3 linked regions of the Arabidopsis thaliana genome follow. The protein of the gene in region 3 interacts with the protein of the main gene of each other region in a pairwise test. Each region holds a gene or a part of one and is shown on either strand. Other genes may lie near its edges.

What was found.
Region 1: the proteins of DAZ2 (region 3) and CRF8 interact in a two-hybrid assay, tested with the Arabidopsis thaliana proteins (one large-scale study listed by BioGRID).
Region 2: the proteins of DAZ2 (region 3) and AT1G70030 interact in a two-hybrid assay, tested with the Arabidopsis thaliana proteins (one large-scale study listed by BioGRID).

What each region holds. Positions count from the first base shown.
Region 1 is NC_003070.9:26,820,714-26,824,212, reverse strand, and holds CRF8 (Integrase-type DNA-binding superfamily protein), read right to left. Parts: upstream 1,697-3,499; 5' UTR 1,337-1,696; coding exon 851-1,336; 3' UTR 542-850; downstream 1-541. Other genes in the region: GLIP6 (GDSL-motif lipase/hydrolase 6), read left to right, coding at 1,793-2,039, 2,139-2,278, 2,353-2,818, 2,906-3,141; AT1G71110 (uncharacterized protein), read right to left, coding at 3,361-3,499.
Region 2 is NC_003070.9:26,376,850-26,380,608, reverse strand, and holds AT1G70030 (Paired amphipathic helix (PAH2) superfamily protein), read right to left. Parts: upstream 1,969-3,759; 5' UTR 1,777-1,968; intron 1,754-1,776; exon of another isoform or gene 1,425-1,753; coding exon of another isoform or gene 1,392-1,424; coding exon 1,261-1,391; intron 1,167-1,260; coding exon 983-1,166; coding exon of another isoform or gene 953-982; exon of another isoform or gene 945-952; intron 667-944; coding exon 571-666; intron 490-570; coding exon 418-489; 3' UTR 230-417; downstream 1-229. Other genes in the region: AT1G70020 (transmembrane protein, putative (DUF1163)), read right to left, coding at 2,456-2,735, 2,842-3,239.
Region 3 is NC_003075.7:16,786,778-16,790,440, reverse strand, and holds DAZ2 (C2H2-like zinc finger protein), read left to right. Parts: upstream 1-2,157; coding exon 2,158-3,012; 3' UTR 3,013-3,161; downstream 3,162-3,663. Other genes in the region: GLUR2 (glutamate receptor 2), read right to left, coding at 1-151. UniProt on the Arabidopsis thaliana protein: Mediates the regulation of male germ cell division by DUO1.

The sequences.
Region 1 (3,499 bases), on a different chromosome or scaffold from region 3:
AAGTTTGTGAACCAATCAAAATTTATCTTCAGATCCTTTTTTTTTTCAATTTCATAATCGTAAGTCAAAAGAAAATATCTGTTTGCTTTTTTTCTAACGCACTTGTGTTTCCTCAAACTTATTATTTTTAAACTCATGTGCACGTACATGTAAACATTCATTTCCTCTCTTTTTCTTTTTTTTCTTGTCAAAACATTCATTTCCTCTTTAGTCACTACTATTATCGAAAACATTCATTTCCTCTTTAGTCATTACTATTATAGTATTATAGAAGATCATATATATCATGTGTATGATGAAGTCTCTTGGTTTAGCTGATCTCTTCATGTTCTTTATTACTTTCTTTATCTCCAAACCCCTCACCCATGGCCATCAGTCTTCAACAAGTCAAAGTAAATTGATAAATTCAGTATTTTTCATTAGACACCCCAAAGTATAAAAATGTATCGTTGATACGGTGATACAAGAACCAAAAGATGGAAAGATATATAAAGAATTTTCAACTTTTCATCAACCATCAAAATATAACTCTGATCCAAGTCATTAACGTTCAATTTGGTTAGAGTTCTGTTCTATTATGTGTTGATCCATAAATGGTAAAAAGATTGAATAGTATACAAATAAAAAGAGCCTATTTCAACCCAAACTTTTCTTTCCTAAACGTTTTAAAAATTCAAAAAAATTTGTACCTTAAAATTTGTGTGTAAATCAAAATATAGTTCATTTCTCGAGTTTCATATATATACATAGACGAAAGACATCAAGATCATACACAACATCAGAAGATGAATTTACAAAATACGAGAGAGACCTTCTTGCTAATGCTAACAACTAAATTACCAACCCCACTTCACGCGCCTCTAGCAACCTCAGAAGCTCCAATCACCGTCTTATCCTCTTGATTCTCCGCCGGCAAACCAAAATTGGTCGGCGCGTGAGGTCCAATCAGCTTAATTGAAGCGTTATCATAAGCTAGAGCAGCTTCCTCAGCAGTGTTAAAAGTACCCAGCCAGAGACGATCACGTCGTCCTTTACAAGCTCCTCTTCCACATCTGATCTCCGCCACCCACTTCCCCCACGGCCTCTGCCTCACTCCACGATATTTCTTCTCCGTTTTCGCCGTCTTGAGAAATTCCGCCGGGATCCTGATTTTGAACCGTGTTTTGCAGACATCGAGTTTATCGGCGGAATCGGAAGGATCGATTACGATCTCTTTAACGAGGCGTTTCCCACGGCGCCGAGTCTGGGATGCTCCTCCACGCTCCTCCGTGTCTTCGTCGCTAGAAGAATCGGTGGCTTCTGCGTCGGTGAATGAGATTCTGATAATACGCTTCATAGTGAATTTGCGGAAATTAGGGTTCCGTCTTCGTCTCCATTAAAAGGAAAGCATTTGAGAGAAAGAATATGTTTTTATTCTTTCAGAATCTCTTTTTCTGATGCTTTTCATCTTTACTTATTTACTTCTCTATTTTTTTCTAACCAATCCTATGTGGGCCGTATGGGCCTCAGAGCTGAAAATGCAGTAAAATCCATGAAATTTCTCAACATGGCTTGAAGCCCATCTTCTAAAGGAAAAAACGCTTTACTCTTTTTTCCTTCATCTATGTAATAAGAAGCAGAAATTTAGGAATAAGTTTGAAACTTTAATCACACATAAGAGTAAGTGCAAAAACATGAACAATGTTCTTGCCTTCCGTGTCAATTTTGTATATATATATATATATATATATATATATATATATGTGTGTCAGTATATAATCTCCTTTTATATGATTATAAACTCATTTGTCCCATGTCTTCTTCTTCTTCAATGGACTTACTCATGTGTCTGCTTCTTCTAATCTCTCCGGTTGTTCTGGCCAAGTCTTCTTCCACCGTCCCTGCTATCTTTACCTTCGGTGACTCTATTTTTGACGCCGGAAACAACCATTACAACAAAAACTGTACCGCTCAGGCTGATTTTCCTCCTTATGGTTCTTCCTTTTTCCACCGTCCTACTGGGAGGTTCACCAACGGAAGAACCGTCGCTGACTTCATCTGTAACAAATTACCTCCCAACTCGTTAACTAAAACATTTCTTCTTCTGCAAGGAACCTTACTTTTGTCTCTTTTTTCTTTTCTTGACGCAATAATTGCAGCGGAATTTGTAGGCCTTCCATTACAGAAACCATTCTTGGAATTGCAGATTCAAATCTTGAATGGAACTTCAAACTTTTCAAATGGCATTAACTTTGCTAGTGCTGGTAGTGGTCTCTTGCTTGATACCAACAAATTTATGGTAAATATCTACCTTGACCAAATAAAATGTTTGTTTCTTGTGAATCACTCATTAAGTACACATATCAAATGTAGGGCGTGACACCGATCCAAACCCAGCTACAGCAATTCCAGACACTTGTAGAGCAAAACCTTATCGAAAAATCTATAATCCAAGAGTCTCTCTTCTTATTAGAAACTGGTTCTAACGACATCTTCAACTACTTCCTCCCATTCCGAGCTCCTACACTTTCTCCAGACGCTTATGTGAACGCAATGTTAGACCAAGTGAACAAAACGATTGATCAGATCTACAAACTAGGCGCACGCCGCATCGCTTTCTTCTCCTTAGGTCCTGTAGGTTGTGTCCCTGCAAGAGCCATGCTTCCTAATGCCCCAACCAATAAATGCTTTGGTAAGATGAATGTTATGGCCAAGATGTATAATAAAAGACTTGAAGATATAGTGAACATAATCCCCACTAAGTACCCTGGAGCCATTGCGGTGTTTGGAGCTGTATATGGTATCACTCACAGATTTCAAACCTACCCTGCCCGTTACGGTAAACTCAATATAGTTAATTAACTTCCATCTTTGAGATCTTTTTCAAATGTGTCTATGAGAAAGCTGAATCATGTTTTTGGTGAAGGGTTTTCGGATGTTTCAAACGCGTGTTGTGGGAACGGTACACTGGGAGGATTGATGCAGTGTGGAAGAGAAGGATACAAGATTTGCAATAACCCAAATGAGTTTCTGTTTTGGGATTTTTATCATCCCACAGAACACACTTACCGTCTCATGTCAAAAGCTTTATGGAATGGAAACAAAAACCATATCAGACCATTTAATCTCATGGCTCTTGCCACCAACAAGATCACATTTTAATACTTATATCTCCCTTGTATATAGAATTCATAATGAGTTTGTATCTGAATTAAGACTCGAAATCATTGTGAAAACAAAAGCCAGAAAGTGAAACTTCGCTCCACTTCTGGTCTCTTCTTCCTCTTCTACTGTAACATGAACGCTACAAAATGTTTTTATTGTTCTCTTTCATATCATTATGAAATACAATATCTGATTCTATCTAACTATACCTCTATACTATACGCATTCTACAGAAAGCTTAGGTTCGTCATCTGAGTGATGAGTATCCAAGCCGTTACCAAAGCTATCATCTTTTCTTTGAGGGTGTGGATCCGCAAACACTTCCTCCCTTTGGGGGCGGTTCGCATAGAATATC
Region 2 (3,759 bases), on a different chromosome or scaffold from region 3:
TGATAGAGCTTTGGCTTCCACAGTTGAGCCACCTCAACACCTAGGCAATATTCTTTTGTTTGTATGGTTTGGTTCAAATTATCTTCTTGTACCGTGTCGGGTTTGTTGTCGTTTATTTGAGAATTTGTAATTCGCCGTTTGTTCTTTTAATTAGTGCAGCAACCTTTAACCCAAAAAAAAAGGTTTGGTACATTCTCACTAAGCATAATTATATTGTCTTAAGTAAATTGATAAATAATTTGTGTATTATCCATAATATTCAGTTTAAATAGTATAAAACAACTTGAAAAATTGAGTACTAGTTTTACCAGTTCAGCAACAAACTAATGATAATCCCCATTGAGTCAAATGGAAGCAGATAAAGTGGCTTTGAACCACAACTTGCATGGCTTCATTGTATACATAATTCATCATTCTTCATCCATAATGTGGAAGAAAGAGATGAAATTCCTCAAGCAAGTCTCGATGGCCTTGAAAAAGGATAGCCACCTACAAAATAATACATTACATTAAATCCAATACAAGAAAGATGGAAAAAGAAAAGGTAGTGAAACATATATATATATACACCTCCTGGTAGAGCTCAGCAACGCTCTTGTTTTCCTTTTTATGCGTTTTCAAAACCTCTAAAAATGAGTTGAATACATCATTGTTCTGAAATCTTGTCTACAGAAAAAATGATATTTAAGAGAAAAGTAAAAAAAAAAATTGTACAGAAAAGAGTAATATAATTTCTAGTAGGGCTGCAAAATAAACAGCAATAGAGAATACAAATGATATAAACCGAAATATTTACACCGAAACTAACCCTTAATTAAAACGATAAATCTGATATCCTAAATTTTAACACTAAAATCTAAACAAGTTTATTCATCTCTCTAAATTTAAATGACTAAACCTGTTTTTTATTTAGATTTTAGATCTTTTGGATCAAAATAATCATAATCAAACTCTAATTACTAGTATGATTTTGCCCAACTACCTTGACCTTGTTGACAAATTCATATGCTTCGTCAAAGTGAGCAAACTTCGAATTTGACGTAAGTTCGTCATCACTGAGTGTTATTTCAAACCCCGTTGGCAAGAATGTGTTGAAACCTAAGAGAAGCTCTGGTTGCCCTTTGAAGAGTTCTTTCACTTTTGATATGACGTCACATGTTTTAGCTCTACAATTAGTAAAAAAAAAAAAAAACAGTTTACCAAAACTTTATATAACTAAGAGCTGAAACTATTATGAGGGAAGAAGAAGAAAAAAAATACCTCTGACCTCTGAAATCCTTCATGATCGTAAGAAAACTATCATATATTTCACGATTATCTTGATATTTAGTTTTTACAAGATGGAGGAAATCAAGTGCATCGGTTGTAGTTAGCTTCTTATTTGCAACCATGGTTTTGAAACTGACAACTGGCAAGTGCTTCATTATCCAGAGGAAGAGAAAATAGATTAATGTTCGACTCCCAATATAAACAACTTTGAAAATCAATACAAGTCTTAAATCTCAATAAACGAATTCAAGATATATAAGTTCAAAGAAAAATAATCGAAATTATCCCAAAAATTCATACAACCAGCGCAGATCTAGCAATTAGAGTCATAGAAAACATTGCAAGGGAATTTACAGCTATCGACCAGAAGATTTGAATCTAACTTACTCCTCAGATTATGTCACACTATATTTTGATCTAAGAATTTCAGTATAGAAACAAGATAGGATCAAAGTGAAGAGGATCGATCAAAGTTCGCTAGGACACAAGTATTGATGGACACGTTACCTCACACGTAACAGGCTTACAGGAAGATACAAAAGACTTGACAATTGACACAAAGAAAGTCGTAAGGTTTTAGGTTTATAAATAACTACATGAGTCATATAAAGATACTTAATATCACGTACGTTAAACATAATCTTTTTGTTAACATAACGATTCGATTTTCTCTCCTTTATATGGATTTTTTACTCTTTTTCTTAATATACCAAATACTACTTTTATGAGTCTTATCCAATATTTATAGAAAGAAAAAAGTAGGCCTTCAGATTAAAAACAAAATTGATAAGTCCAAACCGAAGTTTGTGCAAATCGGTTCTAGTTTGGTTATTAGATACAAACCAATCGGTAGATTTGATTTCGAAATTTAATTATCGGTTCGGTACGTTAAACAGACTAACTAAATAAATTTTTTAAGTTGATGTAATGATTAACTTATGATATTGATGTAGTACCATATGTTTAAATAGAATCTTTTTAAAAAATAGTATCTTACTATGAGAGTATAATTATTAACGAAAATAATAATACATTAGAACAAAGTATATTCCATTGAAGCCAAAGGAAAAAAAAACAAAAGCGCATTGTGTTGTTTAAGTTCTTTCCTACGATATCAAAAGGCAAAAGAAGAAGATCCAACATATGCAAACTAAAACATAAAAATCATTATTGATGAAAATTTTACTTAAGTGTGAATATAGTGGCATATAGGAGCGGCGTTTTCAAACGCAGTTGCCTTCCTTTGAGAGCCAGGCTCAAACCGAACCGCAGTTTCATCACACGTATAGTTCATCTTCCTCCCAGATCTACAATCCGGAAGAAGCAACCTCGATCCGAACCGCATGTCTCTTCTTTCCTTTATATCGTCCATAATGTCTTTCACAACAACACTGTCCATATCTCCCTCAGAAGCAATTACCGATGAGGTATTAAGCAGCTGAGGCCAATTTGGTATCAGATTGTAACTGATAGAGCATAACACAAAAAAGTTCAAACAAAAATATATGAACAAACGAAATTAGTTAAAGAAAAAAAAAAAAAAAGAGTATTGAAATTTTTAAAAAGTGTAACCTGTCTAAGGATGAATTAGCAATGGTAACACCTTTGTAAAGTATGAAAGTCTGCAAATCTCCTTTGAGACACATATAGTAACCAGGAAGATCTGAAGGAAGCCTGATCACTAAATCCCATTTAACACTAAGACTAGTCTCGGTTAAATTAAGGACTGTGAAATCCATAGATGGTATTATAATATCCGGTGCATAGTTTTCTATACGTTGTTCTTTACGCCGTTTTTCACGTCGTTCTTGTGCTGATTCAGAGTAGGCATAAACGATAATTGCAGCGGTTGCGATAGCGATCAAAAAAACCAAGACACACGTGAACACATACTTTTTTTGTCGTGGTGTAAGTCTATCCCATAAAGTGGTGGATTTAGGAGCTATTATTTCTCCGTTTTCATAATCCATTGAAACCCAGAGAGAGACGGATAGAGAGATGTGTATATGCACCAGATTTATGTATCTTTTTTTTGTTAGGGTTATTAAAGAAAAGAGTTGGTATATTGTTCTTATAAGAAGATTTCGATAATTACATATCAAATTTTTTAAAAAGATTTCGATAATTACATATAAATTTTTAGATTTTGGTAAATAACTTTCTTTTCGCTAAAGATATTTTAGATTAAATCAAATAGTAATCTTAGCGTTAATTGGCTATGAATCGTCGGACAGAGAAAACTTCTCAAAGGATAGAAATAGGTTCTTTATGTTGGGCTTTAGATCGTTAATGGGCCATAAAACGTTAAGACTCGGGACTTTGGGAGTGCTCCAGCTTGTTTGGCTACGAATCAAAGAAGCAGGCTAGAACGAAAAATAAATCATATGATGATCAAACATAGTATATTAGTTTTATTATCGGCCAAGATGCTGTAATTTGAGATGTTTCTTAACAACTTTCTATTATCACCTCGCTACAATTTTACCATTC
Region 3 (3,663 bases):
TCATAGCAATATTTGTAACTTCACCCTGTAAAGTCCCTAAACTGAATATTGCTCCAACATCAACATAACGAGGCCTTAAACCAGCTCCCTCTGAAATCATCCCATCACCAATAAGAACAATGAAGCTCAACAGAACCAAAACCCAAAACATAGCTTTGGCTTAATCAGTTCCTGAAACACCAAGTTTGATAAACAAACAACAATTAGATAAAATTCCCAAAAACTTTAAGAATCACAAAATGAGAGATTGTGAGCCACTTCACCAAATCAAAATGGGATTTTTTTAAAAAGAGTAACATAGGAAGAGAAAGCTAGAAACTTCTAATGAAACAAAAAGAATAAGGAAGATAAGCAAAGAAAGTGACTTTAACCAGAACTGAAAAAGTGTCACGAGGATTAAACCCTTACCTCAAACATAGAGAACAAGGATTGTCAAGAAATGAGTGGCAGAGATGCCAAAACCCAAACCCAAACCAAAATCATCCTTTAAAGAAAAGCAGATTCGTCAGGCACATGAAAAATCTAGCTGAAAGAAAGCATGAGGAACAAGCAAGAGGAGTACACATATAAAAACCTGAAAAAAGGAAGGAGTAGGTCTTCAATAAACAAAAAGGAGGTAAACTGACAAAAGTAAAATCATGGGTTTGCTTGAAGATTTAGGAAAGTGGTAAGCTTTTTGGTGGGATTTGATTACTTCCAATCAGAATTCATGCACTAGTCACATTTACAGGCTAAGAAAAAAAGAGTTAGAGAAGGAAATTGGATAGACTAACCATAATTGTCGACATAGATAATGAGCCATTATCGATTGAAAAATGTGAACTTCTTAACTTGTAAGTTTTGTTTCCAGTGAAAAATGAAAACTTTTTGTTTTGTTTGCAAGTGACGAAGTGACCCTTTTGGTTCCCAGCCAAAGTAAAGAAGATGATGATGAGAAACATATTATTCCTTACTATAATCTATAATGGTAGTCTATAATCTTTTATTGGCTAGTGAAATCATTAACCCAAAAAAAGAGATAATTAACCAAATCATCTTTGGGACCATTAATCGTTTGCGTCATGGAGTTGTATGATTATACTTTTGATTATTGAATCAGTATTTTATAATTATATATTATACTTGTATTTGGATTCCGTTATACCTTGATCCAATGACTGTTTTAAATTTATTTTATTGTTTCATTTTCTTTTTTGAAAAGTAATAGTATTATATTTTGTGGTCTTTCATGCGACAATGAGAAAGTCTGGATATTTCGAATATTATTTGGTTCAGGTATTTAAAACATCTTCCCATGTTCCACATATGACATAACTCCAAAAATGAATGTATGTTGTTGGACCATTCTTTTATTTGTAACCTTTTTTTACCCCAAACCAATAAAAATTACAGATGCTTATGGCATTTTCTGATTTTGTTGTCCTATATAGGCAACCTTAAACCTTCTTACCAAAAAAGAGAGACAAGTTTACTTATACCAAAAACAATTCTTGTTATTATTTAAATGTTTCAGGAAGATAAGAAAACGCACGATAAAGAAAATCTAACGGATATAGAAACAAAAATAATAATCTAGGAAACAAATCGTAATCAAATGTCCAATTTCAATAGTGTGAATCATGGGATGGGAGAGTGGCGATTTTATTTCTGTGGAAGTGTGGAACCTCCACCGAAATTGAGTAATGGAAGCTCAAACTCCACTAAAATCTTTACTTTTTCCAAATCTTCCAATTGGCTTTGGAATTTTGTTGGCTTTGGAATTTTGTTGCTTCAATATTCTTGCATAGGCTTAGAATTTAATAATAGACGCAAGATTTATAAGGCCTATCAGAAATAATGGACTCTAGTATTATAAGGCCCATAAGAAATAATGAACTCTAGTATTATAAGGCCCATCAAAGATAAACTTGGGCCAACAAATAATAAGCAGCAAAACTGATACATAAAAAACGTGGTGGTTTCAAACTGCAAAGAGATAAGTCTCTTCCTTACATAGTAAACCGCTCTGTTCCTCAACTGAAGTTAACTGTCTCCCTGTTCCTCCATAACTTCTTTCCCACGTAACCTCTCCTTCTTCTTCTACTTAAGCAACCCTTTCTCTAACTTCTACTCTTTTTTTTCCCACTTTTCTTCCATCACTTCCTCTACGTGCTCACAATGAACAACAATCATTCCTATGATGATCGCAGTTTTCACATTCCACTTCATCCTTCTAACACAAGCAACCCTAATCCAAATCTCCAGTTTGCTTTATCTTCAAGCTACGATCACAGTCCTAAGAAGAAACGCACCAAAACCGTTGCTTCATCCTCTAGTTCTTCACCAAAATCCGCGTCAAAACCAAAATACACCAAAAAACCAGACCCAAATGCCCCCAAAATCACACGTCCATGTACTGAATGTGGCAGAAAGTTTTGGTCTTGGAAGGCTCTCTTTGGTCACATGAGATGTCACCCTGAGCGTCAATGGCGTGGCATTAATCCTCCTCCTAACTACCGTGTGCCCACCGCGGCTTCTTCAAAACAGTTAAACCAGATATTACCAAATTGGGTCTCATTTATGTCCGAGGAAGACCATGAAGTCGCTTCTTGTCTCTTAATGCTGTCTAATGGTACACCATCATCATCGAGTATTGAACGGTTCGAGTGTGGAGGATGTAAGAAAGTGTTTGGATCACATCAGGCTTTAGGAGGACACAGAGCGAGTCATAAAAACGTTAAAGGCTGTTTCGCTATCACAAACGTAACCGATGATCCTATGACGGTTTCTACTTCTAGTGGGCATGATCATCAGGGAAAAATCCTTACGTTTTCAGGGCATCATAAGTGTAATATCTGTTTTAGAGTGTTCTCGAGTGGTCAAGCTTTAGGAGGTCACATGAGATGTCATTGGGAAAAGGAGGAGGAGCCGATGATCAGTGGTGCTTTGGATTTGAATGTTCCTCCAACAATACAGGATCTTTCTACTTCGGACACATCAGGGTGTTGTTTAGATCTTAGGTTAGGACTCTAATTAGTATCTATATATATATATAATGTCTGTAGGTATATTGGATGTTTCCTTCTAATTAATAGGTCAATGTACATGTTGTGATTTGATGATAAGTATAACGTATGTAGGATATTCTGCTATATATATGCTTAATAAAGAAAAATATTTAGTTTTGTGCTTTCGAAATGCACTGATTTTCTGGTATATTAATTAATTTTGAATCAGATCAGAAAAGAAAAGAAAAAAACACTTGAATCAAGAAAGAAAACAAAACTTGTGTTGTACCAAAATGTAAAAGAAAGTTTCAAACGTATATCCAACCAAATACTAGAGAACAGAATTGATCTCTTAAAACATGAAATTCATAAGCAGATATTGAGCCGTTTTGTAAAATTTAAGCCAACTAAGAAAAGGGAAAACATTTTAATTTCACGGAAGCTTAATTAGTATTATTCTTGCCAAATTTCGTTGTTTGACTTGATCTCAAACTCACCACGATCTCCAAGACTCCAACCATTCTATTTTTAATTATTTTCTTAAAACTCTTACCATTCTATCGTATATAGATTAGATCTTATTCCGCTAGAGAATCTTAGTGTTACTTATATCTAAGATAACCTTGTTTTCACCAGCTAGCTTTAACATAAACAATGCTTAAATAAAGATTGAATC